Oryzias latipes: one gene and its partners. The protein of the gene in region 1 purifies or fractionates together with the protein of each later gene. This does not show direct contact. Links are inferred from orthologs where the notes say so. Each region holds a gene or a part of one and is shown on either strand. Other genes may lie near its edges.

What was found.
Region 2: the proteins of prkcz (region 1) and llgl1 purify together in Homo sapiens (affinity purification with mass spectrometry; 6 studies listed by BioGRID and IntAct, counting the BioPlex papers as one, with this or other methods). This does not show direct contact. The link is inferred for Oryzias latipes from reciprocal best matches to the Homo sapiens genes PRKCZ and LLGL1.
Region 3: the proteins of prkcz (region 1) and llgl2 purify together in Homo sapiens (affinity purification with mass spectrometry; 7 studies listed by BioGRID and IntAct, counting the BioPlex papers as one, with this or other methods). This does not show direct contact. The link is inferred for Oryzias latipes from reciprocal best matches to the Homo sapiens genes PRKCZ and LLGL2.
Region 4: the proteins of prkcz (region 1) and partitioning defective 6 homolog gamma purify together in Homo sapiens (affinity purification with mass spectrometry; 6 studies listed by BioGRID and IntAct, counting the BioPlex papers as one, with this or other methods). This does not show direct contact. The link is inferred for Oryzias latipes from reciprocal best matches to the Homo sapiens genes PRKCZ and PARD6G.
Region 5: the proteins of prkcz (region 1) and nucleophosmin purify together in Homo sapiens (affinity purification with mass spectrometry; 3 studies listed by BioGRID and IntAct, with this or other methods). This does not show direct contact. The link is inferred for Oryzias latipes from reciprocal best matches to the Homo sapiens genes PRKCZ and NPM1.
Region 6: the proteins of prkcz (region 1) and c1qbp purify together in Homo sapiens (affinity purification with mass spectrometry; 5 studies listed by BioGRID and IntAct, with this or other methods). This does not show direct contact. The link is inferred for Oryzias latipes from reciprocal best matches to the Homo sapiens genes PRKCZ and C1QBP.

Annotation. Positions count from the first base shown.
Region 1 is NC_019865.2:32,864,045-32,869,366, reverse strand, and holds the start of prkcz (protein kinase C zeta type), read right to left. Parts: upstream 3,362-5,322; 5' UTR 3,150-3,361; coding exon 3,073-3,149; intron 1-3,072. UniProt on the Homo sapiens protein: Calcium- and diacylglycerol-independent serine/threonine-protein kinase that functions in phosphatidylinositol 3-kinase (PI3K) pathway and mitogen-activated protein (MAP) kinase cascade, and is involved in NF-kappa-B activation, mitogenic signaling, cell proliferation, cell polarity, inflammatory response and maintenance of long-term potentiation (LTP).
Region 2 is NC_019866.2:18,052,457-18,057,171, reverse strand, and holds part of llgl1 (lethal(2) giant larvae protein homolog 1), read right to left. Parts: intron 4,648-4,715; coding exon 4,501-4,647; intron 2,101-4,500; coding exon 1,938-2,100; intron 1,842-1,937; coding exon 1,706-1,841; intron 1,137-1,705; coding exon 1,082-1,136; intron 430-1,081; coding exon 275-429; intron 190-274; coding exon 1-189. UniProt on the Homo sapiens protein: Cortical cytoskeleton protein found in a complex involved in maintaining cell polarity and epithelial integrity. Involved in the regulation of mitotic spindle orientation, proliferation, differentiation and tissue organization of neuroepithelial cells.
Region 3 is NC_019877.2:17,364,066-17,369,470, reverse strand, and holds the start of llgl2 (lethal(2) giant larvae protein homolog 2), read left to right. Parts: upstream 1-2,304; 5' UTR 2,305-2,554; intron 2,555-2,584; exon of another isoform or gene 2,585-2,867; intron 2,868-2,970; exon of another isoform or gene 2,971-3,025; 5' UTR 3,026-3,111; intron 3,112-5,405. UniProt on the Homo sapiens protein: Part of a complex with GPSM2/LGN, PRKCI/aPKC and PARD6B/Par-6, which may ensure the correct organization and orientation of bipolar spindles for normal cell division.
Region 4 is NC_019869.2:23,985,479-23,989,423, reverse strand, and holds the end of partitioning defective 6 homolog gamma, read right to left. Parts: intron 2,905-3,945; coding exon 1,862-2,904; 3' UTR 1,410-1,861; downstream 1-1,409. UniProt on the Homo sapiens protein: Adapter protein involved in asymmetrical cell division and cell polarization processes. May play a role in the formation of epithelial tight junctions. The PARD6-PARD3 complex links GTP-bound Rho small GTPases to atypical protein kinase C proteins.
Region 5 is NC_019872.2:18,721,477-18,726,896, reverse strand, and holds the start of nucleophosmin, read right to left. Parts: upstream 3,436-5,420; 5' UTR 3,321-3,435; coding exon 3,272-3,320; intron 2,307-3,271; coding exon 2,227-2,306; intron 1,175-2,226; coding exon 1,055-1,174; intron 818-1,054; coding exon 724-817; intron 637-723; coding exon 527-636; intron 452-526; coding exon 393-451; intron 1-392. UniProt on the Homo sapiens protein: Involved in diverse cellular processes such as ribosome biogenesis, centrosome duplication, protein chaperoning, histone assembly, cell proliferation, and regulation of tumor suppressors p53/TP53 and ARF.
Region 6 is NC_019872.2:21,255,148-21,260,582, forward strand, and holds c1qbp (complement component 1 Q subcomponent-binding protein, mitochondrial), read left to right. Parts: upstream 1-2,263; 5' UTR 2,264-2,394; coding exon 2,395-2,647; intron 2,648-3,551; coding exon 3,552-3,702; intron 3,703-3,782; coding exon 3,783-3,876; intron 3,877-3,954; coding exon 3,955-4,050; intron 4,051-4,131; coding exon 4,132-4,257; intron 4,258-4,335; coding exon 4,336-4,485; 3' UTR 4,486-4,732; downstream 4,733-5,435.

The DNA of each region.
Region 1 (5,322 bases):
AAACATCCAGAAACTTCTTTTCTGGATGAACGATGACAATGAGGCCATTTCAAGCTGGACTCAGCTGGAAGGGAAATCTTCAGAATTTTGTCTGCGCTCAATACTGTGTGCACAGCTTCCCCTTCCCAGTGTCCATACCTGCCCAGTGGTGTCCACTTCTTTGAAAATCTGGAGTCAATTCAGGAAACATTTCGGCCTTATAAATTCCACAGTCCTCACATCAGTCTACAAAAACTGCAGATTCGATCCGTCCAAAACAGATCTGTCATTCAAACTATGGCACAGGAATGGGATTAAATCAATCTCTGACTTATACACTAACAATGTATTTTCCTCATTTGAACAATTGTCAAAGAAATATGCCCTCCCGAATCAGCATCTCTTCCGTTTCTTCCAGATCAGGGACTATGTTAAAAAACTGTTTCCTCATTTTCCAAATCGCCCACCAGAAACTCTTCTGGATGTTCTTCTCTCCAAAGACCCTTTTGTTAATGGATGCATTTCAAGCGTTTACAAGTCAATTTGGACAGCATCCTCAAAGCCGTCCGATACTGTCAAAACTGCGTGGGAAGACGGTCTAAACCTTAACATTACGGAACAACAATGGAGGTCGGCATTGTCTCTTGTCCATTTGTCCTCTATTTGCGCCCGCCATAGATTGATTCAATGTAAGATTGTTTATAGGGTCCATTACACCAATGCCAGACTGGCCAAAATCTATCCTTCTATTAGTGATGCCTGCAGCAGATGCCATCTCTCTCCTGCCAATCATGCCCATATGTTTTGGTCATGCCCAGTGATCGCAGCTCTTTGGACAGATGTATTTGATACACTAACGAGGGCTTACAGATACACCGTCACACCAAATCCCATGTCGGCAATATTTGGTCTCCCCCCAACTTCAGACACGCCGAGTGCACTAAAGCGGGCCGTTGCATTTACCACCCTATTAGCACGCAGGCTGGTCCTGCTGAACTGGAAGCTCCCCCGTCCCCCTTCGCATGTCCGCTGGGTCCGCGAGGTGCTTTACAATCTCAAACTTGAGAGGCTTAGGTACTCACTTCATGGCTCACTCAGGGTGTTTCATGAGACCTGGAGCCCTTTCCTACAATATGTGGACTCCTTGACATTTCCTCACAATCTGGAGGCTGACTGAGCACCAGTGCAACAAAAAGCCACTGCTGTTACCCTGGTTTTCTCACTTATTACTACGTATTTAATTACCTTTTTTTTTTTCTTTTTTTTTTTTTTTTTTCTGGACGTATTTCTTATTTTAAAAAAAAAGAAAAAAAAAAGCCCAAGTGGTTTGTGTTTTTTATTTATTTACTTTTTTATTTTTTATTTATTTATTTTATTTATTTATTTATTTTTTTTGTGTCTGACTTGGCCTCTGGGGGTTGTTGACGGGGGTGGGTGGGACGGGTTGACATGTGAGTGTTTATTTTTACACATTGCCTTTTTTACATTTCATTTTACACTCTGTATGTCTGTTTAATACAGAAAATGTTCAATAAATAAAGTTATAAAAAAAAAAAAAAAAAATCCCACACCGTCACAGCTCTTGTTTATATCTTGTGGGACACAGAAAAAATGCGACTTCTCTAGTACAGATAGCAGAACCGTTGAGGTCAGATCTTAACGATACTGCAGTCTTGAAGAATGTTGCCCCGGGGCTCGTTCAATACCGGGGCACGGTACCCATCCCTATGAAAGGGGCACGGTGGCATATAGCCAAAGAGATGGTACCCATAGATACCGTGGAGAAGACGGGGTTTATTAATTGAATTAAAACCTTAGATCCCAGATGTGAGCTGTAATGTTAATCCTTTAGAAAATGGTGCTACTCTCAAGGTGAATGTTTGTCTCCTTTTAGTCTAGACTACAAAGTGTGACTTAAAACCCAGCTGGGACTTTGATTCCAAGAGTGTGTTCATGTACTTATTATTCATCCCAGAAATGGGGGTTACATTTGTCTTGCGTTTGATTAGATAAAAGCAAAATTTGCTTTAAGTTGTCTGCCGTTTGTACTTATTGCTTTCCTTAAGTAAGGGGGGGGGGGGGGGGGACATCGGGGGGAAAAATCTTAAAATCGAATTAAAAAGTATAAAATCAGAGATTTTATTTTTAGGCCATATCGCCCAGCCCTAGTCCAAATGACCCTTGTCTACATAGGAGGCCAGCATCTAACATCTAATATGTCAATAGTTTGGATCATTAACAAAGATTTATTACAAATATGAACTAAAATGATTAGTTTTGCTTTAATATAGATGCTTAAAGACTTCCTGTTCAATCCTCATGTGTGGGATAGAGAACCAAAGCTAAAGGTTAGTTCCAGACTCATCATGTTTGTTCTCCTCATCAGAATAGCTCTCCTCCCCCTCAGCTTCAGGTGACAGGGAGAGCCGGACTCCTCACTGCAAGAATGAACTTCAGTCCAGGCAGCAGGTCGCCCCGGCAACCGCTGGTCCCACAACAACTACAGCTCATTAAAACCACAAGGAGGGATGTTTTCAAAGCTCAAAGATCAATGGAGACACAGGAAATGAAAGTTCACCTCTGAACTAGAGCAAAATAAAACTCATTTCTATCAACTACTGGTTTGTTCAGATGAACACACACTGGGAGAGGCGTTCACGTGTCTCCCTTTAGATCATGGTTAGTGACGTCCTTCTGCTTCACTTCCACCTGTTCTCTGACCTGCGTGGGTGAAGAACCTCCAGTTCCTCAGACAGGTTTGAAGGAACCGTTCTGGGGTTCCTGCTGTCAGAGTCCACCCATCAGCCACTGCGGCGCTCACCTTCATGTCCCGAACTGAAGGAGAATGGAGGCTTTGGGACCGAAAGTCCATCAAACCTTTCAGTGTCTGATATTTCTGGTGACCAGCAGGTCACACTGCTTTCACTTGTGGACTTATTTAACTTTCCTGCAGTGAGAAAGTCAGAAACGGTGTTTTTGTTTTACTCATTCTTGTGGCGGCAGGTGTGCCCGCGCGCCCGGCCCGGCCCGGCCCGCTACACCGCGCGCCGCCTTGGCTCCGCAGGTGTCCACGCGCCGGAGGAGGTCACTTACCCGCGGAAGTGCGCTTTTATCTTCACCACCTTAGAGGCCAGGTCCATGATGGATCCGTTCGACGTCAGCGCGTCCATCCCGCAGTTTGCTGAAAGTCCCGGGACAGGCCCAAACTTTGACGAACCCAACCTGCGGGTCGCTGCGGGGCATTCAGCGCGACTATCCCGCGCGGACCCGGGAGGAAACTTCCGGAAAGAAAACTAACGGAGCGGTTTTGAAGTTTTTTTACGGTGCAGAAACATTAAAGGCTTCGGAGACGGTGGAGCCGTCAAGCTCTCGATAACTACTAGGCCATTTCCGCTCCACACTTTCAAAATAAGACAAATTGAAACTATGATAGGCAGCGGCAGCATTGAGGAAGAGGCCGATGCTTTTATTTTGAAAGCACAACTGTAGGTTGCTCACTTCGCAGCTTGATAGATTTCTGTGGCTCTCTATGGTTACGGGGGTCAGAATTCACCTGTCCCGCTCCGCTCCTCGCGGCGGGTCCGCTGCGACCCACAGCGGGAGTGGCGGTTCTGGCAGCCACACCAGTAGCGCCCCTCAGTTTCCCCCAGTTACTACCCAGAAAAGTACAACAGCTTATTATGGTTTACTTTATGGTTCAAATATTTCACTATTAACAATTATTTTAAAAAGCAACCAGAGGCTTGTAAATTCGTACAGCTTATAGGACTGTTGGAAAAAAAATACCAAAAGTAACAATAAGTCTTACAAGGATAACAACACACATGTTTGCTTGAGGCTTGAAATGACCTCCATGTAAAAAATCTATTAACAACTAGTGCAATTTAAGCTTGAAGCTTATTGAGACAACTTTGCTAATATTGGGCTACATACATAATATTAAATTAAAAATTCTCATAGCTTACACTATGAACTTGGTCTGCTTCTCTTAAACTAAAAATGTGTCAGTCTTGCATTAATACGGGCAAAGTCATCAGTCAAACCCTGGTTTGTTAGTTTCTCAGTGGTTGATGATTAGAGCTACCAGACCAGGTAGCTGATCTTGAGCCTTGGATGATCTTAGGAACATTTTGATAAGCTTAAGCTTTCTTATCCTCACATCTAATTCTTTTCTAGTTTTCATGCAGTGGATAGGATCTATTGTCATGTGAGGTGATCAAAGAACTGGCATTAATCCAGGGTCTGTTAAACTCATTTTCCTTTTGGAAAAAGGTCTGCAGCAAAAACACGAGAACCTTTTTTTTAAGTACACCAACCACGTTTTTTCTCCTCTCCTCCACTAACTAAAGTTCATCTGAAGTACTGCTGATGGCAGCTTCCTCTATCATTCTCATTCTTGAGAGAAACAAATGTGGATGGAACCTGAATTCCTCCTCTGCAAACCAGATGTGTTGGATTCCTGTCAGTCATGAGGGGCAGTTAGTGGGTCAGGGGGCAGCTCTTCATCCACTGAAGCCTCTGTAATGGATGTGGATGTTTTTGTGTTTGTAATCCTAAAAAAGTCACATATATTGTGAATAAATAAATGTTTGAGGCAGTATGGATTATCATACATTTCATGAAATTATGTTCACACTGTGACTATAAAAATACATATCATATCTACTACACTAGTAATTTAAATGATGTGCAAACCTGATGTTTCTTGCTGTTGTGGATCAGATGCAAATGGGCCTTCAGCGTCTGTGGAAATGTTTGGTTCTGCATCCTGACCCAAAACAGCACTCAAAAAAAGGAAATTACCAGCCAATTAAGTTAACGAAAAAGTAACTTGTCATTTCAACCAGAAAATTTTATGTTTGTAAATCTTACGTGAATGAATCATGTCGATTGTACATAAAAATAATCCATTTAAAAGTTACTAATTTCAATCATGTTGATCCAACGTGATACCATTAAATTGGATGCATTAGTAATCGCAAGGAATTGTGGGATACCATTTTCTTTGTCTATCTGGGCAGATTGGGCTCTAAGTGTGAGTTTTTGTCCCTGGGTTTTATTGTCTAGCTGTTTTACTCTGTTTTAACTAGTGATTTAAACTGTTATGTTTATTTTTTTTTGCACCATGAGTTAAAGTTTGGTAGAGGATGATGACCAACCCCCTGGTGTGGTAGAATGCTAATGTTCCAATACTTAACACAGAGTTTGTGGCAATTGAGCTCCTGGCTTGTGATGTGGGACCTTGCTGGGTAATTCATGTCATTGATATGAAAATTAAAAGACCCACAGGTTGTAACTTTGGAACAAAGTATCAATTACAGATGTGTAAATGAAATTAAAGAA
Region 2 (4,715 bases), on another chromosome or scaffold:
TGCCGGCGTTGATCAGCCGCTCCCACAGCTTGGTGGAGACGTTTGTGACGTGACAGGAGCACGTGATAGCTGACGAGTGAAGGGGAGCGAGGTAAGGAGTGGGCAGCGAGGGCCAACCGGGGGTCAGCAGGTCAATCACAACCAGCTCCTCCTCCAGAAGCACAACGAGAGCCGATGGGTCGTCAAACTCTGAGGGCGGGAAGACAGAAGGCAGGACATTTAAGATCCAAAACAGAATAAAAGTGAAAGGATTTATATCTGCTTGGATTCTTACCTTTGTCGTTGTCCATGTTGTGGACAGTAAAGAAATCGATCACTCGAGATGTGAAGTCCAGAGTGACATGCTCTTTGTCCTGCTGGATGGTTAGACAGTGACGGTCTCCATAGCTGGCTCGTGGCATTCCTCCACTATATAAGATCACCGGGGAACTAGAGAGAAGCAGAGGACCCTATTTGCAGAGGTATTCAGTCTTTTCTATTCAAACTGATCCAATTGTATTCCAGATATTTGTAAACTTAAGCAAATCTGTTTCTCAGAGCAGAGGATAATGGGTACAATCTCAGACAAAGTTTATTTAAAGACCCACTTTGGTGAAAATGGTGTTATTAACATTCTTCTGGCCTTTTCCTGACGATGGAAGACATATATACAGGAAATTAAGCTCAAAATGTTATTTTTTTTATTCAAATTGTAGTGAATAAAAAAAAAATGCTGTTAGAAAAAGATTGTATATGTGATGCAGAACATTGCTCTACATCACATATACAATCTTGTTATGTTGGAATTGTGAAGAAGCTGGCAAGAGAGCGTGTAAACAGAGAGCTCAGTTTTGATTGACAAGAGAGGGGGTGGGTTTTCTCCGCCCCCAAAGTTCCATCCACAACTCAGAGGTGAATTTCTAATGAACTACTGCCGCTCTGCAGAAACTATGTCCTAGAAAACAAAACAGGTTTCTTGATTTTGGCTAAAAACAGCATAATCATAAAAGATCACTGGAACGCTTTTAAATTCAATCAAAAGATCATCCGAGTGGAACTTCAACCACTCATTTTGATTAAAGAACCAAATCAGATGACAAACCTCAACTGTGTCGTCCTCCACAGGATCTTTGTGATGGCTTTGCAGGGAAAAGGACCTGAAACAGAAAAGTACTTTGAATTCACAACAATGTGCCAGTCCCAATAATTCAATCCTCACAAATGACTTAAGAAAAAGAAGAGTACAAAAATGAAGATTAAGCTCAGTTTAAAGACAAATATTTCTTATTGATGCTCCATTGTTCAGATCATTAACTACAGTTTGTGTCATAGCAGGTCTAGAGTCACAATTCACTTAAAAAAGTCACTTCCCTTAAATCTAAACAGCAAGCAGAATATAATAAAAGCAATAAATAAAGCCAGAAGTTATTTTTTAAAGATAATCCCCACAATCAACAGTGAAAGGACAGCTCAGGTCTAGTTTGAATAATGTTTTTGGTGATAAAAACATTTTTTATCAACAGTCTTGAGTCAAAATCCCAAAAATAAGGGCGGGTTGTACACAACCCTGAGGTTTATGAGGGCCAACGGTACAGAAGAGTAATAGTCTGCAATATTGAGAGCTTCAGCTTTTGCATTCAGATGAATTTCTCAAACAAAAAAGCCGCAGCAGGATAGAAACGTGATTATTTATGCTCATCTTTGAGCGGCTCGATGGGTTTCTCACCGTAGGGAATAGTAGAGGACACCGGCTGGTGGTTGTAAATGTTTCCGTTTGTAACGGCCCACACCGAATAGCCCCCATCGTTGTGGGAACTGACAAATAAGTTTCCAGAACGCTCCCAGACCAGGCTCTCCAGCTGCTGCAGAGCGGGTTCACATGCACAGCCATCAGAAGAAGGTCAAAGTGAAATCAAGTCAGTGGTTAAACACTTTTTTTTCTCTTCTAAAGGGAGTACCTGCTTTCCGAGGAACAGCTGGTCGGCGTGACGGGAACTCAGGTCCCAGAGGACCACCAAGCCGCGGCTGTAGCCGATCAGAATCTTGCCTGCCTGCTGAGGGTGTTCCTGAAGAGACTCGACTGGCCCTAAGGATTTCCCACATCTGTAATCATCTGGCAGGCTAAGGGAATGAAAAAAAATAATAAAAAATCTGTGTTTTTTTCTTTAGCTTCACATATAGTAACGCATGGATCTAATCCAGGAAAAATTGAATTATTTTTTAGGCCAGGACAAGGTGAGATAACGGTCTACACACACAGCTGTTAAGGAATTAAGAAGACGATATCTAACACAACATCTGTGAGAAGACAGGGAGGTTGACATTGCTCCCAAATCTAATCTTTACCAGATCTTATTTTGACAAAAGCAAAAATAAACTGTCTGAAAGGCAGACAGAGATGCACATATTTTTCTTCCACATGCAACAGCAGTAAGTTTAACATCAAATTGGTGAAGAGTTCCTGGAATCAAGAAGCAAGACATTCCTCTGAGACAAGAGAGGAATGTGGAGCGGAACACACCCTCAAGATGTCAGAGGATTCCCTCAGCTAAGCAGGAGAGGAGCAGCAAGACTGCAGAGTGGAGGTTTTTCAGAACACTACTGCAGATCAAGCAGAAACATCTCTGACACACACAAACACACACACACACACACACATATGCTGATGCCGTGATGGATGAAGATCCTCTCCGGAAGCACAGAGACAGAAAAAAAATCCCAACAAAGCATTCCATTGTCTCTGCCTCGGTGCTTGAAAGTATTTTTAGGGAATCCAGCATCCTGCTGCAGAGTCCCGGAGATGAACCTGGAAGTGTCTCTGTGGATGCGTGTCCCTCTGAAAGGGCACACTAGACGGTCAGCTGAAACACTTCCCGCATTTTAGCAGGAGACACAAAGCTCCACTATGCAGAAGCTCTGCTCTGTGGCAGAAACGCAGAATCAAACGAGTCTCATCAGAGCCATCAATAAGACATCAGTGAACCCCAACCTTCCTAAACAAGGAGAAGCAAACATGCCAAAAACATTTGTCCTGCAGCTTAAATTCCCATAAGGCAACATTACAAATGTGTGCATCATTATGACAGAATCCCATCCAGTTTCCAAACATGGAGAAAATGCAGCACTTTATCTTTATCAGGATTATATGACATTGATTCAAATTGATTGATGGTTACCAAGCAACAACTTATATGGTCGCAAAAAAACAATAGTTTTGGTTATGCATTTTATTTTACAACTATTTTAGCACTTCTATGTGAGCTCCTAGTTGTTTAGGGCTATTAAACCACCATCTGTCAGTGTTCAAACGAAGAGTTTTAAATAAAGTTTTGAAAATGAGCTGAAATAAAAAGCAATGCAGCTTTCTGTGGATACAACTTTATCTGCCGTAGAAAGACCCTAAAACTGCGTATTTAGTCTTCTTAACAAATGTTTAAAACCAAAGTGTCCTTCATTGACAATTATTAAAACAAATTTGAAATAACGAATAAAAACTAGGCAGATTATTTCGATAAAGTTGTCTTTCCTCAACTGTTTAGGCTGAAATTGTATTGAAAATCATACTTAAGTTTGTGTCTTTAAAGGCGACCACGCATCTCCATTCTTTGTTCTTTTACTGAAGTAAAAGCTTTAGAGATCAATAAGACTTGATTCATTCATCACCAAATTGGAGACCTTTAAGAATCATTACAAAAAAATAGACTTTTTGCTCAGCTCTGAAATGCCACGTCATCTTCTTCGTTTTCTACTTCTACTTCAATTGCTCAGATCCTTGTTGTGCTTTAAATCCAGCTAAAACTCTCTGCAAAGGAAATTCTTTAAGATTATAGTGATGTAAATAATGTCATTTGTTAATGTAATTAAAACAATAAAAATGCATAGTGTAGGCAATTCACCAGAAGTACCAGTCCAACAACAACAAAAAACACCTTCATCTTCATGACAGTCCCAGTCTGGGAAGCTGCAAAGCTCAGCCATAAAGTGACTACAGAGAATAAAACCTTTAAGTTTGTAGACCTTAATGTCACGTGGGTTAAAAAAGAAACACAAGGAAAAAGAAATGTATATGGTTGCTACTGATAACAACAACCAGGATGTTTATAAGAATAAAGTAGCAGTAACAGAGAACACAATAAAAACATGATATACAGCACTGGAACTTCATGAGGACCTTCTGGTTTGCTGACAGTGAGAAAACACTGTTCCAATAAAACAAACCACTTTCATAAAAATTGTGTTTTGGGTATTTTAATCATGTTCTTGTATCATTTTTCTGACAATGAAAGACATATATAAAGGAAATGTAACTTACAATTTTAATTTTTGAGTACCGGGTACTTCTTTATTTAAATTGTTGTGAATCAGGAGTAAATGAAAAAATGTGGTTTGAAAAAGAGGTCAAACTATGTTTTAGAAAAGCACACAGGTTTTTGGATTTTGGCTAAAAACAACATAATTATAGTTTTAAGACCACTTTGAAAATAAATCAAAAATGGTAAGATCAGGCCAGTTTGAGCTCACCTTTGAGTGACATGATCCTGCAGCAGCGTCTGGTTCTCCTTTAACGAGAGGCGGGGCAACTCCAGGACGTAAACGCCGCCACCTTCTGTTCCCATGCAAAGCAGGTCACATGACTTTAGCAAGAGGAGGACAGTCACCCGGGTGGCGCTGCATCACAGAAGGGTGGGTGAGTACAATTGGTAGTGATGGACAGACGTTATGCTGGTGAGTTACTT
Region 3 (5,405 bases), on another chromosome or scaffold:
GGAAGGCAAAACATTTCACAGGTAGGTAATATAGTTTTTTTTTTCTTTTAATGCTGCAGGGGCTTCATTACTAGTACACATGTTGACATGCATGATGCTGCAGGGCTATTATAAAGTTGACATCGCTGCATGATATACATATAATTTGATGTCGACATAAATGTAAACTTTATTTTGTTAAACCTGTATACAGTGTACTAGGACTAGGCTATTATAGTAATATAGATTTATACATTTCTGACTCAATGACTGAACTTTTCTTGCAGGTTTCCAATGCGTTAAGACTTAAGGAAAAAGCCTTAGCTATCACAAGAGCTAACCCAGATGGATCACTGTGGTTACCAACTAGCAATACAGTCTGACTATGTTCAAAACATTTTGTGGAAACACATTTTGATAAGAGGCCAGACTGTTTGCTTGAAACCCGGCACCATACCATCTGTGTAAAACAAATTGATCACTCACATGAATCAGTAGGGTGAATCTATTGTTTCTTGTTAGGTTTTTTAAGGGTAAAGCTGTTGTTAACTTTTGGACTTATTGTTGACTTATTAATATTTTATTATTATTTATTATCATTGACTTATTATTTATATATTGTTATAATTTATTATTATTATTATTGACCTACTGTTGGGCTTTTCTAAATAATTTAAATTACATGTTAAAGAGGTCTAAAACTTCTATATTTCTATATATTCTATATATATATATTCTGTATTTTCCAAAAAAAATATTTTTATTATTATTTTTATTTGTAAGAAGTCCTGCAACTATGCATTTTTCATTAAAGTTTGAGCTTTAAAGGCTGACTGTTTCTCTTATTTAACAACATACGTTGTTTTTTAAAATACAAATATATTATATATTTATATTTATGTATAAATATATAAATATATATAAATTATATAAAAGCTACTTAGATGCCACTAAAGGCTATAGAAAGCATTGTCATATGGGCGCTGACGACCTCACCGAGATGGCGTCGCGTTCTGCCACAGTCAGCCAGGCTTCCCAAGCGGGCGTGTCTCCTCTAACGGTATAACTCATTGGCAAACGTTTACATGTATTTAAAAAAACATACAAGATGTAACTGATGGAACTTTACAAGGCTAGAAATAATCAATAAAAACAAGTAAGCAAGTGTCTCTTTTGCATGGGTGTCACACAGAAGGTAAATTGAATGATTTGATTAAGAAAAACTGTAAATAGAAATATGCACAGCAGCAGCTGTTTTAAAAAGGGGTGGGACCAAACAAAAACAATTTTTCTGCCCACTCCTTTTCAAGCACATTGTTTTGTTTTATTTTCCTATTTTTAACTCTTGTGTTTATTTTCAGTTTGTGTTTGAAATAATAAAAAATGTTTCAAATGTTGCAGTTTCACCAGAAAACACTGAAGGCAGGTTGTAGAATTAGATTTCTTTTACATACATGTTAAAATTTTTAATTTTATACCAAAAAAGACATTTGTATATCCAGGTTTCTTGGATATTATGTTTATCTTTATTAAATTATTTCTCAAGTACTATAGCTTTGATTTTATTGGAGCTCAAAATTGCACTGATTTATGGGTGGGTTTCTTTTGACCAATCGGTGAACCCATAAGGGCTTTAAACTTTACTTGTTCCGCCCAAATGCCATTCAGGGTTTTGAGCTTATGTTGGGCTTTATGTTATCTGTGTTGAATCCAATTTGGGAGATATCTATGTCTATTTCAACATGTCTATGGCTTAACAGCAGCACTGACAGCAGTTTCACAGGAAGACTTTACCTGCTTACATTTTAGTATTTTATTATTTCTATTAGTCCGAACACTGTCAGCAGACCTGTCTAAATCAAACCGCTTATCGTCATGAAAAACCTTCTGAAGTACAACCACAGATCAGAACATTCACTTACTTGTATTTCAGCCTAAATTAAAATGTGGGCATCATTGACTGCTGTGACAGAAATATAGATTGACCAAGAAGAAAAGGTAATCAAGTTAACTGACACATGAAGAGATGCAGGATTCTGAATGCAGACAAAGCTACTGGAAAAAGATGTTCCCCAGAATGCAGTTATATCCCCTCCAGCTTCAGAAGATCAGACCTTTCAGTTCTCCTTTATTATTCAGTCTTTTTTCTAGCTAAAAATAGTGTTTTTCATGTCAGAAAAATACAAAGAAATTTAATATTACTGTCGTCACAAAAGATACAATTTAAGTTTTTGTTTTTCAGTCTTGGAGAAGAAAATCAGCAGAGCATCCATCGAAGCTGCTATTTCCAGGAGGATAGTGAATGCCTCAGGGGGCGGAGTCAACAGGGAAGTGAAGTAGATCTAAGCAGGAAGCAGCGAACCTTCCGCCGCTGAGGAACGGACAAACCTGGCCGGAGTTTTAAACTGTCCACACGCGCGAAGGTTCCGGACCAGCAAAGCGCTGTTCAGACTCAGCAGTTGGACACTTTAATTGTAACCCTGTATAAGAACAGAAGTCCCGGACCACTGGGATTCGGACTGGAACCAGCGGCTGTCTCTTTCACAGCGGCGGACCAACTGCCGCGGTGCACCAGGTGGGTCGGGGGAGGGCCCAGAGGGATTCCGCAGTGCTGATCCCGCAGGTGTATCATATCGGTGCTGTCATCCTTAAGTTATAATGGTCCGTCACGGCCACGTATTGGGCGTTCTCGGGTCTTCTTGGTACCGCCGAGATGGAGGGTTCGGGGCGGACTGCCTAATGTATAAAATCGGTAGAGCCTTCGCGACGCGGCACAGGGTCCTGGTTCCGAACAAAAGAACCAGAACCAACCTCGGTCCCGTGTTATGGTAGATTCTGTTTACCAAATTAAATCAATTTGGATACAAGAGAGAAACCCGAGGAGTGAGGTTTGGCTAGTTTGTTGTGTTGTGAACTGATTTCTGAAGTTTAGCCTCCAGTTTTCTTCTGTGATTTGATCATCAACCGGTTCGGCTCTCCTTGTTCTCACAGTTCGGCTTTTAGCTCGGTTCGCAGTTCGTAGTTTCCGACCACATTTACTCGGCAGGGGGACACTACCGCGCTCGGCAAACCCGACATGAAGAGTGGGTGTGCGGCCCTCTTGGCGATGTGACGTCTCACCTGCGGGGAAAGGTGAGTTCATGTTCCGGCTGCTTGCGTAAAACACGGAACTGTGTCTGCGGAAAGGTGTGTCCGCTGCAGGCGTGTCCTCGAGGTTCAGAGTCAACCATCTGGGGGGGTTTGCAGCCTCGGAGAGTTGACGGTCCGGTTCTGAACCCAAACCTGCAGGACCTCCACGAGTCTGAAGAACTTTACAAAGACAATATGGCAAGCGAAACAAGTTATAAAAATCCCAAAGAAAAGTGGTATAAGGACACCATTTTGGCCTTAAAAAAATCGCCGATTTCTACGCCCGTTTAAACGTAGTACTAGTACGTAATTTATGCCGTCTTGTGTTGTTTCACAAGCTGTAATGTTTGAATAAATTGGCTTAGGCCAACGGTGACCATCAGTTGTCTGTGATAGCCTGGTGGTTTAAGCAGCAGAACCATATACTTTTTTCTCATCGTGTTTCTTTTTCTTTGGGTGACTTTTATCAACAGTATTATTTTGATCATAGTTCGTTTTTGTTGTTGCTCTTCTTCTTTTTTGTTGAGACTTTTCTTGATCAGTAAACTCTTGGTTTCATTGTAGTTGTTCTTAAGAAGATATTAATATGAATTTAAAATCACGTTTTGTTTGCCTAATGAAATTTAACCATGTATTCAAAAGTATCAATGCGACCGCTGGATTCAAACCCAGGTAATTCCAAGAAAAGCATTGCAAGCACGTCATTATTCCACTACACCAGTGTTTTTCAACCTTTTCTGAGCCACGGCACACTTCAACCTTGACAAAAATCCCGCGGCACTCCGGCGTTCAAAAAAAAAAAAAAAGGAGAAATTCGGTCTGTATAGATCTACAGTCCCTCCATAATCTCAGTGCATTTTTGTGATAATTGTGGCAGAAAAAGCTGGAAGCTGCAGCTGTATTTTTAAGATGTAATAAAAGTTAAGTCAAACGATTTAAAAACTGTTTGATTTGTGGTCGTTGTGGTTTCAGGACGTTAAGAGGAGAGAGTCGTGCGCCCAGACGCTCAGTGTCGCTTTACCCCAATGCATCATGGGAGATGTAGTTCAATTATCCGCCGAACGCAGAGAGACTAGCGTCTCTGAGCTTCATTGTCTTGTTCACTTGTTCCTCGGTCTGACACCGGATTCTGTGGAAAGCTACACCGCTAAAGACGAGCTTTGGCTGGTATTTTTCTTAGAACTGAGCGACTTTTTCAGCAGAATTCAGAACAAGGAAAAGGTGACTTTAACCACTTCTGATTGGTCAGACTGATGACATGTGATTAAGATCCCAAGAATGATTGGTGGAGACAGTTAAAGGGGCGGAACTTTTCCTAACGCAGCTGAAGCTGCGGCTAAATCGTGGTACAGTCATTCTTATGAAAATGTATTTAATAGAATCAAATAAACACAAAGAAAAAAGTATTTTACGATCTTTCATATTCCCAAGTTCTTAGTGTTTTATCATGTAGGGATGAACAAAGAACTGAAATCCTGGAGATGGAAAATGTTGTTAAATCAGTTAATGAGGGCAATTTCCCACGGCACACTTGACCATCTCCCACGGCACACTAGTGTGCCGCGGCACACTGGTTGAAAAACACTGCACTACACCACCTGTGAGCACTGAGAAACTGACTTTGTCTGTCTCCTAACAAGGGCGACTTAACACATGTTGCTGTACATAGACTTATTACCAAAGATGTGTTCATCCTTGAAGTCTTTTTTTTCTTTCAATGTTTAAATGGGAATCAAGCGTTTCTGTTGTAACAGCATGTTGGTTTGGTAATTTGATGACTACAAAAAGAGATTTCTTTATTGTCTCCAATATTTATAGTTTATTAATGTAATGCATACTTGTAAAAAACCAAAAAGATGAGGAAGAGCTACAAGAAACTAACTACAATCAAAATAAAACTGTTGCTAAAAGTCGTCAGCAAAAGAAAAGGATAACAAACGCAAAGAAATGGGTGTGTAAAGCCTGGAGTTGAACTCACAATTCCAGCATGAGAAAAAGGTTAAGTTGCTTAAACCACTAGTCCATTGCAGGTAACTGATAATCTCCGTCGGCCATAGACAAGTTATAGCCGTTTTCTACGCCTGTATGTGGCAAAAAAAAAAAGCACACACAAGACGGCGTAAATTTTGTTCTACGTTTCAAACGCGAACTGTTGGAAACAAGCAGGGTTATTGATGGCCACAATTGATGCCATCAAACAGGTGTGCATGTGTGATCCCGAACACACCCGTCCGATGAGACCTTTGTCTCTAAAGCTTCATTAACCTGTTCCTCAATAGGAATATTTTTTTCCAGCA
Region 4 (3,945 bases), on another chromosome or scaffold:
TTTATTATGGTATGGATTTACGTGACATCTGCATTGGTGGATAATAACGGATATAATTTGGTTAGAAAGAGTATCATAGTAAAATGAGCCATGTTGTTCAGTGTTTTGCTCAATCTAAAACGTTCAAGTGCTATTTCAGATGAAAAATAGATCTTGGAGTTTACTTTATATTTCACCCTGATTATTAAAATGTACGAGATATTTTTACTTTTGATTACTCTCCATTTACCACAATTGACATACCTTTTTTATTTTTTTATTAACAAGTGATTTCAATTGTCTGTTATAATAATTTGTGCCAGCAGGTGGCAGCAGTTCTTATAAACACAGGAGACTTTGACAGAGACTTGAACTCAGTTCTTAAGCTTTGTTATCACATCATTCAGCACACAAATAATAGTTTGTACTTTGGAGCGTTTATTTGGAAAGATTTAGTGGATTAATTCCACTCAGCTCAACATATGCACACTTGAAGGAATGTTTAGGGGAGTGGGTGGCTTTGAAGCTAAACTGTATTTTCTTTGTTTTCAGCAATTTTTCCACTTAACCCATATGTTTTTTTTAATTAAAAAGTCAATTTGGGTCATGGTTATATAAAAATAGTTGCTTTGGTTTTAAATATATATTTTTACTGATTGACATCCTGTTCGTGCTTTTATTTTGGAGCTTTCTCAGAGTAAACGCAGAAAATCCAATAAAAATTAAATGCAATCCAAAATCATAGAAAAGTAGAACTCCCAAACTACAGGCAATCCTTCCAAAAACCGTCCAATTATACTTTCTGAAATCTGAGAGAAAAAAATATATGTATCATGGAATATTTGACAAACCACATAGATATTAAAAACGTAAGAGTTGATTAGAACGTTTAAGAGTTTAAACTCAAAAATCTTTTTTTCAAATTCAAATCTTTGGAGCAAAAATTGTCACATTTTGCATCTATAAATTTGCAGAATTTAACATAGATCGGTGACTTACTTGCATTTTCTTTGGGATTCGATGAAAAATAATAGATGAGGGAATTGTGTATCGTTTAAATATTTCATTTTAGCAGCTGTAAATGAAATACTTACTTCCCCAACAAAACTTGTGTGCGAGTGAGCTGATGGCATTCTGGGACAAATGCATTTGAAACAAAGACTTCCAAAGGTCAAATTGGACATTTAAATTGATGCAGACGCTAGAGTAGTGTTGCTTTTTTAAAGACTGCTTGGGTTTTCTATGACATTTGTCTTTCAGATAGAAAGCAAGCCTGTTTTTTTTTTCATTCATCTTTAATGATGAATGAAAATAGAAAGGCAAATATGTTCTAAATTGTCATAAAAATACCTCAAAGTGATGCGCTTTTCAAAGAAAATATTAAAAATCAAACATTTTATAACCAGAAACATCATATCCTCAAGCTTGCATAAAAGAGATAGAATAATTTATTGAAAAAGAAACATGATTTGATCACAATCATCGATGCATAACAGACATTAAAAACATAATCTACACAGCATTCATAAGAATATACATTTACTCTTAAAAAATAAAAAAGCCCACGTTGGTCCAAGAAATAGGAATTATAAAAGGATCCTGATCAGTGGTCACTCAGAGACGAGCTGTCAGTACATTCAGATCTGGAAGCTACAGTGGAATCCTCTAAAAACAGTTGTTTGTTCTGAAGCTTTAAGAAAATACAGGATCTTCTCTTGTTGGACTAAGAGTGTTTTTAAAATACAACACGTATTTACACTGTAGTTGCGGGAATCTTCCTATAATCTAGTACAAATCAACAGAAGTGTGTGTCTGAAGTGAAATGCTGGCGTTTCCAGTTGAGTCTGTGAGCAGCTTTGATGTTTCTGTCTGTTAGCGGGCATTATAGGGTAATGACGGTGCCATCCTCCTCCACCCCTCCCTTGGGGAGGGCGAAGCTGTGTCGTGGGTCCGTTTTCAGGGAGTTGAGGATTTTGTGCAGGCTGCCGTTGCTGTGTCGGAGGGCGGGGTTGCTGCTGTGGAGCTGCGGCTGACCGGGTTTCTGCTGCTGGCTGTGCTTCGGCTCTTTGTGGAGCTGCTGGTTGAGGCTGCCGTGGTGGTGGTGGTGGTGGTGGGGGGACCCTCCGTTCAGACTCGTCTGGGAGTGGAAGGACGCAGTGAGGACCATGGAGGAGGGCCGTGTGGGGGGGTTGCGGTGGGACGGCGGCAGCTGCTGCTGCTGCGTGCGTGATGCGCTCGACGCTAAAGAGGAGCTGGACCGCTGAGACGGCCGCTTTAGGCTGCTCTCGATGACGATATCCGTTTCCTCGTCGCTCTCCAGGTCGTCGTGGTAACCGTGCGCTCCCGGGGGCGTCTCCCGCGCTACGGCCATCGACAAACTCGGGTAACCGGTCGACCCGCTGCTGTCGGACGACTGGCCGGAGCTGCCGGAGATCCTGCTGCTGCGGACCACGTTGTTGCGCTGGTTCACCGGCTTGACGGTCACGATCAGATTGTGGCTGTTGGCGATCATCATATCCGTCACCTGATCCAGCGACTTCCCCGACACTTCGATGCCGTTCACCTCCAGCACCTCGTCGTTGATGGCCAGCAGCCCGGTGCTCTCGGCCAGACCCCCCGGCACCATGCGGGATATGAAGATGCCCGGCACTTTCTCCACGCCGTGAGGCGTCACGCGCATGCTGGTGCCGTCCCGGATGTAGAATCCCAGAGGCTTGTCCGAGCCGTGCCGGTACAGGCGGACGCGGCGGTGAGATTCAGGCAGGATGTCCACGTCGATGATGGAGGAAACGGGCCGGAAGTCGTGCGGCATGCCGATGTGGATGTTGGGGCGCCTGCGGCTGATGTCGCTGTTGCGCAGCGCCACGACAGCCTTCTTCTTACGCGTTATTGTGTTGGTGCCAAAAGTACTGTAGTCCACCTCTTCTGCAACAGAAACGAGAAAAACAACAATGGCGTTTGAAACGTTTCCACCAAAAAGGTCAAACAACAGTCCGTGCATGATTCCTTCATAAACCAAACCATCTGCCGTACCGCCAGAAACCTTTGGTCCAAACCTCACCCAGATGTGGCCGAAAATGACTTCCACATGAAAAGCGCGCTCTTCATTTCATCCCTTTCCATTCCAGATGTGAGCAATAAAAAACATTTTGAAAGTGGACAACAAACGGAGAATCACAGAAGGAGATGTCCGTTAACCTGAGCAGAGCATTCCTCTGCTCACTCAGCGCTGCGGCACGTCCAAACACACACCTGTGGCGTCCCGCACGCGTCTTCCTGAAGGGAATCCATCGTGATGAAGATCACCAATGGTTAAAACATTCTGACGTGTTCTGAAGAACATCACAAACCCATCCAGACTGATGCTGGGTTAAAAAAAAAGTCCCATCATTTTTGATCTATTGTAAATGTCGTCTTTTTTAAGAATTATACTTGTGTTGTATTCTAGGACATAGTTCCTGCAGAGCAGCAGAACGTCACCTCCGACTGTGACTGTTAGTGTGGGGCAACTCCGCCCCCTATTCCCTTCCCCTGTCGCTGGGGGCTTGTGGCCCCTTCAGTGTTTTTTTTTACGTCACACAAACTCTTTTTCAAACTGTATTTTTTCCTGTTTTACAATGATTTATATCTAGAAATATTCCATTTTTAGCTACATTTTCTTTATCTATGAAAACATTTTCATTGCAGTGGAGCTTTAAAAAATGCAGAATTAATCATTGGCTTTACACGTGTGAGTTTAAATAAAAAAAGCCCTCAGTGGCAGAAGAAACTTGAATCTGAGGCATCTTCCTCTCCTCAGGCGGACAGGAAATCTGCACACAGCGACGCCTGATCGGACAGGAAGTGAAGTTCCACAGCGGGACCATCAGCTGCTGCACATTCAGGTTTTCTCTTCTGTTTTTTAGGTTCCAAGGCTGGATTTCACCGTCGTGAACGGAGACTCCCTCCGGTTTGTCCTCACACCGT
Region 5 (5,420 bases), on another chromosome or scaffold:
CTCATTTATTGATTCTTATCTGCCGTTTTAAATAAAAAAAGTACCGTTTACATGATTTTAAATGCATACTTTAATGTTCTTACATCCAGTAAATAGACGTGTGCAAACGGTAAAATGTTTATTGTAGTTTGATCTGATAATCGTGGATCTGGATTCATGAATTGGATTTCCACCGAATTAACAGCTTAAGTTGATCACATGCAGTATTCTCCACAGTCTGATATGTTAAAAGGAAAAAAGTCAAATTTCTAAATATGAATGTAGTTTTGGGAATGACCTCAGAGACAAACACCTGATCCAGGACCCGCCACTTTGGGCCCAAACACCATTTGGATTTCTGACAACACCAAGACACAAAAGAAAACATTTGCCGTCAGAATGTTAATACTCACTCATCATCATCCTCATCGTCTTCATCTTCATCATCATCCAAGTCCATTTTCATCTTTTTCTGTCAGCAGATCAGAAGAAGGTAAAAACCAGCACATCACATTTTATGGCATTTGTTAAAGTTTTTAAGTCAAACCTGAGATTTGGCAGCAGGGGATGAAGCAGGCCTCTTCTTTGATGTTTTCACCTCCTCCTCCTCTTCCTCCTCGTCGTCTTCCTCTTCAAAGGATTGATCCGCCTCCATCACTGAAAGCAGATTAGACAGCAGATGGTGTGATGAATGCAGACCCACAGAAGGGCAGATAAAAGAACCATCTTCAGAAAAACACTTACTGACGAGGTGCTGTCCGCTCAGATGGATCGGACCGGAACCCGCCTTCAGACGGAACACTGCTGGGGGTGTGATCGTGAACCCGCCGAGACACACCTACGAAATCAAGCATGCAAGGTCACACAAGCTGGCTTTAAAGATCCATATTTAAATGCGCCGAAACAAACAGAATGGGCTTCAGGAACTTAACCTACAACACATCAACGTCACAGATCTTTTCTTCAGAAAAAAAAAATTATTCCGAAATTTGAGATCTGTCAGTACAGTCCTCCATACAAAGGCTAACTGTAAAATATCCTTTCAGGTGAGTGAAGGAGAACTGTGTGTACTTACACTTGGAAGGGTGGAGGGTTTGAGTGACACCAGAGCTGCCTTGATTTTCTGCCCCTCTGCGTTCTGTCCTTCCACCTCCACCATGTTAAGCTCGTCTTTGGTGCTGGGGTCAACACAAGCCTGAAGGGGCAAACAAGACAAGGTCTGAGCTACGTTTTAAACATTCTTGTAGCATTCTTCTCACAATGAAGGACATATTTAAAGAAAACTGAGCTTAAACCTGAATTTTTGAGTCTATTTTAAGTCACGAATGAGGAGCAGATGAAAGAAATGTAATTCTATTTGTGGCGCTGGTGCTACAATGAACGTGCCAAACGTTCCCTGCTCCGGTCCATCCTGCGTCGACTTGTTGACTACTAGATCCACGTCTTCCTCGTCTGAGCTGATTTGTTGCAAACTGAACGGCTGAATAGCTTCAACATTGCTCACCATTTTATTGCACTGCTAATGTTGAGCTAGATTCACATAGCCCATTGTGGACAAGCAAGGAGAGACCACCAACACGTCCAAACCTATAGCTGGAAGAGGCTTGGTGCCAAATGTCAAAACGGTGCAAATCTCACAATTTGGGCACAAAACGATAACATTTTGGTTCGTTGCCAACACCCTTGCAATGATTGAAACTGATAACCACCATGCTAGGAGAGTGTTTCGTTATTTGAAAGACAAACGCAGGCACCATCAGGCCTGTCCTAGTGTCTGGGTTCATTTGGTAAACCAGCTACTCCGAGCCCCTGACTGCCTAGATTCCAGTAGAAGCGCGAAAAACATTTACATAGTTTTACTGAGTTAGGCTGCTCAAACATGAAGTTAGGGGGCGGAGGCACATTTTTCCTGGCGGCCTGCAGAAACTATGTCCTACAAGACCACTTTTTAATACTTTTTTTTGGCATAAATTGGCATTATCATGCTTAAAAGCCACTGGGAACACTTTGACAAAAGATCAAGTGGGACTTTTAATGCATTATAATTCAATACATTTAAATTCATTAAATAAAGCCTGAAATTTAAACGCAGTTTAAAATGATAAAAATCCGCTCATTTAAACCCACAAACAGGACTTCAAGCTAAAATCCAAAATATTTCCATTGATGTGCCTAAAAATTTATTCGACATGAGAGCTCAAACGCAAGAATATCACAGAACTGTAGTCTTCATTTCATTATAATTACCAGTTTGAGATCTAACTGATGCTCCAGCTCATCATCTTCAGGACTGAAGAGCACTTCCTTCCCAGCCTCCAATGTGCATCCTAAAAGACAAAAAACGGTTTTAAAATGAGAGAAAATATCAAACTCAACACTAGAGGGCGCTCTAAACGATGCACCACGTGGGAGAAAAAAGTATTTGATTTCCGCTTAACAGTTTTAAAGTTCCCATATTTTATCTTGGATATAATTTATTTAAAATAAAAACAAACTCTAGAGACTCTAAATAGTTTTTTTTAAGTGTTGGCAGGAGTAAATTTCAAATTTGTAATGACTTACTGGAAGATAAAAACTATTTTGACTTCATTTCTAAACAACTGTTTCACCATCTAAAATAAATCTTTATGAAAGAAAAAGAATCTTTTTTTTCTCTGCACCACGTGGCAAACGAAACAGATTACAATAAAAGGACTAAAACGTATAACATCACGAAATGAAGAACAAAAGAAAATATATGCAATTGTATTATAAACAAATGTGAATAAATATAAACGTAAGTATATTTCTAAAGGGAATTAATTAGGTCAGCTTTAAAGGGGGAGGGGCCTAACGGCACGCTGGAAACCACGTTGTCGAATTTTCTAGAAATTAGTTCATGGTCTTGCAATTTAATTTAAAGCTTTTTATCTATTTATTTTTTCACAACGAATATCTTATGCTAGGGTAAATTAAAAAGCAATATTAATATGAGCTGTATTTGTCAGAAACGTAGTTTTCATTTGGGGAGAAAAAAAGCACGGCGACCGCCATGTTGATATATTCAAGGAGCATGTGCGTAATAAGTCTGACGCCGTATTTCCAGTCATGATCCAGTCAATAAAACACATAAGTCATAAAATAAAAACAGACTACACATTTTATGTCCCTTTCTTTAACGTTACACATTCAATTTTATTCAAAAATGGACCGCGCGCGCCTCAGCGGCCGCTCCACCTCCTCGCACGAGCTATACACACACGTGTGTCCAACGTGCACGAAGAAGAAAAGCAAACCTACCAACTTCTCTTACCATATAAAAATGTCTGTGGTGCCAACGATTCTTCGTCCAAACCGTTCATTTTGCTGACTGACACGACCGCCGCTGATCTGCACGGGAACAATCACTGATCGTGGATGGAAGGACTGATGGGGCTGTTCTTCTACTCTGCTGAAACGGAAGTGATCCAGTGGGTGAGAGCGCCTCCTACAGCTCGGCGGAAGTTAGTGCTTAGGGGGTGTTAGAAATTCATATTGAAAGACAGATGCATTTAAAACAATCTAAAGCTAGTTTCTGATTTTATTGATTATTCAGACGTTATTACTGACGAAAGCTTCATTTTCTTCCCAGATTTTGTGAGGCGTTTGATACAGGGTTCATACGGTCATGAAAAACCTAGAAAAGTTTTGGAAATTGAAAATGCAATGTTTTAAGTTCTTGAACAGTTTGTGAAAAACGAAATCTTCTGGAAAGTTTTGGAAAAGTCATGGAATGTTAATATTTTTGATTAAAAAAACATTAATAAAAAGGTTTTACATGAGATTCGAATTTAAATTGTGACAAAAGTTCAACCTCACTTTCTGAACGGAAGTTCCATATAAGTTTTTCTGGAGCATAATTACACTGACCAAAAATATGAACGCAACACATTTGTTATTGCTCCCATTTTTTATGGTATGAACTAGAGGGCTGCATTGGGATCGGGTCCCGCCGGGTCCCGCGGGACCCAACCCAAATCTCGCGGGATTGGGCGGTTTGAATTGTGCTGCGGGCGGGAGCGGGCGGCAAAAAATAAACCCCGCGGGATCAGTGCTGCCATGAATATCTCATGAATATATATTAGCGGACTACGTTAGGCTGTGCGGCTGTTTGATTCTTATGTACTGAAGCTCCGTGAAGGCACCAGGTAGAGACGCCCAATGGCTTCTGTCATCTAACCTGTTGTTGGGGGTGCGCCCCGCCCCGCCTCTTACTAAGAGCGCGCTTCAGGCCGTCTGTCTGCGCGCGCACACACGCACACTTTTAACCGAACAGGATTTGTGAAAATATATTTAATAATTAAGTTGCACATTACACAAAAGAGGAATGCATCAAAAGATGAGTCTGGAGGAGGTCATGAATCTCTTTAGTAATAATATCAATACAAATACGTGTTTTGTTCCTGCGGGACGGGAGACGATACAAAATCAATGCATCTCTATTACTGTGCGGGACTAAATTCTATGAGTTTTGCGGGTGCGGGCGGGAGTGGACATACATATTGCGGGAGCGGGCGGGAGTGTAACGCATACGTTGCGGGAGCGGGCGGGATTGGTCAAAAATTCAGCGGGCGCGGGCGGGAGCGGGATGAAGAAAATAGTCCCGCGCAGGGCTCTAGTATGAACTAAAAGATGTGAAACATTTTCCACATACCCAAAATAACCAGTTCTCTGAAATTTTGTTCACAAATCTGTCTGAATCTGTGATAGTGAGCACTTCTCCTTTGCCAAGACAATCCATCCCACCTCACAGGTGTGCCATATCTGATTAGACAGCATGATTATTGCACAGGTGTGCCTTAGAGTGTCACTGGCCACAAGAAAAGGCCACTCTGAAATCTTAAGTTGTATCACACAGCACAATGCCACAGATGTCGCAAGTAGTACAAGTCAATACCAGTGAGCATTTCCAGGGGGGAGGCGGGGCGATGACGTCAGTGCTCACTCGGTGTGGCTACATGCTCTGTGCGAGCCAAGCATGTCTGATCAGTGCAGCAGGAGTCTTCGTGGGAAGGGTGCTTTGTAATGAACAACGCTCCGGAGGACGCTTCAGACCTCAATCTGACCATGTCTCCCGGGAGAACCGAGTCTCTGAGCCGAAGAGTAGCTTTGAGGCGTCTTTTGAAGGCGGAAGTGCCGCTTCGGGCAGTCCTGAGAAACCATGCAATCATGTGAATTTGTGTTTCAAATCGTGTCCAGACAAAATAAAGGCTGAAGTTTTTCCCACACATTTACAGCCAAGATGCACATTGTGGCACTGCCCGCGGTAAGGACTTTAAATGCATCCGAAGCTAAATGTTGTTGTTGACACATATTAGCCTGATCCTAAACACTTCTCCTGAATTTTATGATATTTTCTTTTATTTTCATCGATACACTAATTATAAATCTGGTTTTAATTTTTTCCCTCTCGGGTTAACGCA
Region 6 (5,435 bases), on another chromosome or scaffold:
ACTCCTGTAAATAAGGAAACAAAAATTAGTAAATGCATCTGCTAATTATTAATTAGTACAGTGTGTGTGTGTGTAGGTGTGCGCTTAAGCGTGTGCATGTATTAGTGTGTTTGTGGGTACGTGTGCATGTGTGTGTGTGTGTGCATATTAGTATGTTTGTATGTTAGTGTGTGTGTTACATCTACGAGTTGTATGGAGAGTCAGTCAGCCATCACATGATGAACTCCTAAATGACCTCTACAACAACAGCGGAGGTTTGGGAGCGGCAGGCTGAGCGCTTTCCCTGTTCTACTGGAGGACTGGAGCCTGAACCTTCGGCAGACAGACGGAGGAGGAGGAGTCAGAAAATGCTTCACCTGCTTCTTTACCTTTACCACAGCTGCAGCAAGTGTAGACGTGTGTAAATCAAAGGAATACTTCTACAAACATCTGGAATGCTCACATCTGGCTCAGGAGCAGCAGCACTCGGACGCAGGTCCTCTTTCTGGAGGCTCGTCATCACTTCCTGAGCTGCTGTCCTGCTGCTCCCGTCGTCTCTGGAACAACAATGGTCGCAAAGATCTGATCTCAGAGAAACACCACAGACTGCTCACAGTCGAAATATTTGGATCAGTGGACTTTGAGACAAATTATTGAATTTTTGATCTGTTGAATCAGAAATGAGTCAGCTTGATGACAGTTTTGTCTCACAACTGCCATCAAAGAAAGAAACACTGGCACAGTTGACGGACATATCGGACACTTCAGTCAGGCATTCTCATTACATGACCCTTCACTCTAATTGTTAAAATAAAGCACCCTAAACTCACTTATTAGCGTGTGACATGCACACTGCAGACAAACTGCAGAGAAACAAATGGCTGCGAGGTCATCTGCCGGCAGAACATTGAACTAGAGAAGGTCAAACATCAGAGCTGCTCCCATTCAAGACACAGATACGCAACTTGATTTGCATTAACCTTTGCTGTGAAATGAGACAATAATCTTTCTTTTTTAACCTCCAGCCATTAAAGCTAAGCTTGTCTTACTGACAAATCCTTATGATATAATATGAACTAACTTACAGTGGTATCAAGTCAATAACATGGAAATTATGGGAGTTTTTTTAGTAACATTTTGCATCATTTCTGGCCTTTTTTCAACAGCAGAATTTCCATCCACATAAGAATGCAAACTTATCTACAGCCACTACCTTTAAAAAGGTTTAGTAAAGATAGATACATAAAAGCTCTTGGTCTATATTTACATGTATGTATATATGTAAAATTCAAATAATTAAATTATATGTGAAATAGTCAAGATAATTACAACATTTATCAGGAATTCATGGTAACATTATCTGTGCTAAATTCACAGAAGCTACTGTGTTCATAAAGAAAAGTTAAAAAAAGAAACTTAAAAAAAAACACCACTAAACTCACCCTTTAGGTCTGAATAATTTCCTTCAAAAATGTGGGGACATAAATCTCTCAAGTTGCTTTTGTGCTTTTGTACTGTCTTTAGGGAAGTCTGACAACAAAGAGACTTTTTTTTTCAAACTGATTCCTTAAAAAAAAAAAAAAAAAGTGCGGTCACAGTCGCAACCGATAGTTTGTAAATTAGCAGATTCAGTCCAAACCGTTACAGAATTTCCTAACTTAGAAAACAGTAGTTTCCATGGTGAACACATTTTTTTATAGAATAGAAAATAATCTTTTTACATATATTTATATATATATATTTAGCAAATTTTCGTGGCTTTGATAAAGGGGTTTAAAAAGCATATAAATTTATCTTAAAAAATGAATTGGCTGTATAGTGGGCGTTGAATGGTTTAAAAACATGTCAGACAGCACCATCTGATGGCAGCAAGACTACAATTTCAATATATATTGTCGCAAAGGATGATGCAATGTTTCTACATGACGGGCCTCTACCGGTTGAGATTGTATTGATATTTCTTATTTAATCAAATTTTATTTCACTTGTATGTGCTGTCGAGTTTATTATAAATAAATAAAGAACTCCCGCCACTAAAGAAGGCAGACAATCTCTAATAAAACATTCACATCGAAGACACAGGGGGGCGCCACTGAAAATGCACTACGTTTTTTAAAAGTGCATCATATTTTTTCAGCTATTTTTTAAAAATGTTTTTCCATTTAATTTTACCATCCTATTTTACCATCATATATAATCAGTTAGTGTTTAGTGTTTAGTAAAGTAAAGTCAACTATTTGATATAAAACTAATGTTTACTGAACTAAGTACTACTTCCGGTTCAGGGGTCATAGTTACGCTAGGTCAATGTGCCCTTCCACACGTGTTGCCGGTGTCTTCTAGAAGCGTTCCTGGTAGTACGTCGGTGCCTGCGTGTTCTTATTTTTCTCTCTTCTTTAAACAGTTTATAGTATCATGCTAAAGTCTCTGGTCCGCGCGGTGGGAGCTGCTGTTCGGCTGTCCTCGGCACCATCCGCTGCTGCACGGGCTCTGCCGCTCAGCTGTCCGACCAACCGCTCTCCTGGTTCGGTTGCATCTCGGCCCTTCACCCGCTCCCTGTGGATGTTGAACAGTAACGGAGCCCCGTCGGGATACAGACCTAAACTGTTCAGCTCAAAAGTACTAAGTCCGTCTGTGTCGTGTGGATGTGGAGGGCTGCACACGGAAGGTAGCTGAACGTCCGCATGTTTTTGTTTCATTTATCTAAAAAAAAAAGAGAACCTGTAAACACAAGTTTGGGTTATTTAAAGCAGCAAAACAGCTTAAGTTGCTTACAAAATTGAAAGACACGTGGCGGTTAATTGGGGTTTTAGACGACACGGCGAGCGTGCTGCATCCTGGTTTAGGAGCTAAAGAGCTGACATCACTTTGGCAGGCAAAGCTTTAGATGATAAACAATCAACTGATGTTTTAACTTGTCGCTTAGCAACAGTACTGCTAATTTCCAGACTTCACAAACTATTTGAATTTTACAGTGACCCGATTTTCCTCATTAAAAGTGCTTGTTTTTATTTCTTTTTTTTTTTTCTTTACTCCTTCCACTCGGCAGAAATTGCTCCTGGAAAACGACACAGGTTTTATAAAGATTTGGCTAAAAACGTCAAAATTATTATTTTTAAAAAAACCCCACTGTGAACGCTTTTACAATCGAGCGGGAGGTGATTGGAGTGGAGCTTTTAACATTTTAAACTAATCACAAGTGAAGAGTCCCTTTATATTTACATCTGTATTTACTCAGTCAGCATTTGTTTTTTTGAATATTCCGCTGGTGTGTTATCCATCAACACTTAAAGATTCTACACGATGTAGGTATTTTGTATGTAATTGTGTAACAATTGTTTCAGATAATGCATTTTATCAAGTTTTTTCACCTCTAACTTGTCACATGTTTAAACATAAAACATTAAGGTTCACTGATAAGTTTTTCCAAATCCCCTCTGCCGAAGCCAATAGTTTACTCATATAAAGTTATGTTGTCATCCCATCCTGTGTGAAATGTGGATTCATGTTTTTTATCAAGTTGTCCATTCTACATCACACAGTTTCACCTAAATCTGTTGTCTTTTTCTCAGGAGACAAAGCGTTTGGTAACTTCCTGTCCGATGAAATCAAAGAGGAAAAGAAGATCCAGAAAAACAAAACCCTTCCTAAGATGTCTGGAGGATGGGAGCTTGAGATGAACGGCACAGAGGCCAAACTCACAAGACACCTTTCTGGTGAAAAGTAAGGCGATGGCTCACTCTCTGAGGACAAAGTGACCGTGTAGGAGTTCCTGCAAAGCAGCTTTTATTTTCTGTCTTCAGAGTGACGGTCACATTCAACGTTAACAACAGCATCCCTCCAAGCTTTGAGGAGGAGGAGGAAGCGCAGCAGCAGCAGAAACCAGCAGAGGAAGAGGTGAAGCTTTCGAATTACCTTCTAGATTTGTGATCTTATCATTTATTTATGCTCACTAGTTGTTGTTTTCCTTTGTAGCCAGAGATTGTATCTACGCCAAACTTTGTTGTTGAAGTAACAAAACAGAATGGGAAGCACACGCTCGTGTTTGACTGTCATTTCCCTGAGGATGAGGTATGAATTAAAACGAAGAAAGAAAGAAAAACTTCTGGATGAAGTGGTTAGGTAAAAAGGTGCCGACTTTATCCAATGTAGATGAGTCATGGTGAGGGGGAGGAGGAGAGCGACATCTTTGCCATCCGGGAGGTCAGCTTTCAGCCAGAGGGAGACTCTGAGTGGAAGGAGACCAGCTACACCCTCAACACAGACTCCCTGGACTGGGTAAGAGCTGCTGTGAACCATGAGCACACGGGGGGTCATGAAGGTGGGATGTTCTCAACTCTGCTGGGTTCTTTTTAGGCGCTGTACGATCATTTGATGGACTTCCTGGCCGACCGCGGCATTGATAACACCTTCACAGACGAGCTCATGGAGCTCAGCACTGCCATAGAGCACCAAGAGTACATCAAGTTCCTGGAAGATCTCCAAAGCTTTGTCAAATGTAACTAATATTTAACTTAACTGTCTGTTCTCCAGATGAAATTTCAAAGGACTAAAGCACTCAAGACTCATGTTTGGCACCCGGCAACAAGAATGTTGCTTGTTTTTCTGTAACTTCAATAGAAATATTTGTCAGCCATAGTGATCATTTAGTTTCTCAGCCTCTATTTTACATCTCATGTCCCCTTTAAATGTGTAAACGTTCAATCAAGACCTGTTCTAAAGCTAATAAAGAGAATTGTCAGTTTTCATTCGAGAATTTGTCACATTCTGAGGTTTTACTTTAGGAAGTTTTTATGTTTATTGAGGAACATTGACATTTTGTTGGTGGCTTAAAAACAAAATAAATACACACAAATTCCACACAGAACCAATTCAAGGTTTTAGATCATAATCATCACCTTACATTTTTCTCAATACAGTAAAACTTGAACAAGTTCAGATGCTTCAAAACTGAAATTATTTGAAAGATTCTTTATAATTTAGAAATGAATAGAACTGTTTAAAGGAAACAAATGGAAAAACAATATTAAACTGTTTATGTGCAATAGAGGTTGATCAAACCTTAAGCTCCTCCTAAGAAGCAACCCCGCCCCCCTTCCTCCCAGCTATTTCCCACGCTACAAATAAGCTCTTTTTCATCTGCTCTTGATTCACAATAAATTAAAAAAGAATCACTCAGAAATGCAATTTTGAGCTTAAGCTTCCTAATGTATGTCCTCCATCAGAGAAATACCACAAGAACATGATAAAAATGGCAAAATGTTTGCATTGGACTGGATCTGAAAAAGCAGACACATTCTGTGCTTGATGTTTGTAATAAAGGCAACACAAAAACACAAGGTTAAACAAGGTTTACAGGTTTCATTTGTGTGAAGGACACCAAAAGGTAAGATCAATACTTGAAAGTGTTGCTATGCCACGAGAGACGGATAAAGTTTATACAAATAGCTCACCAG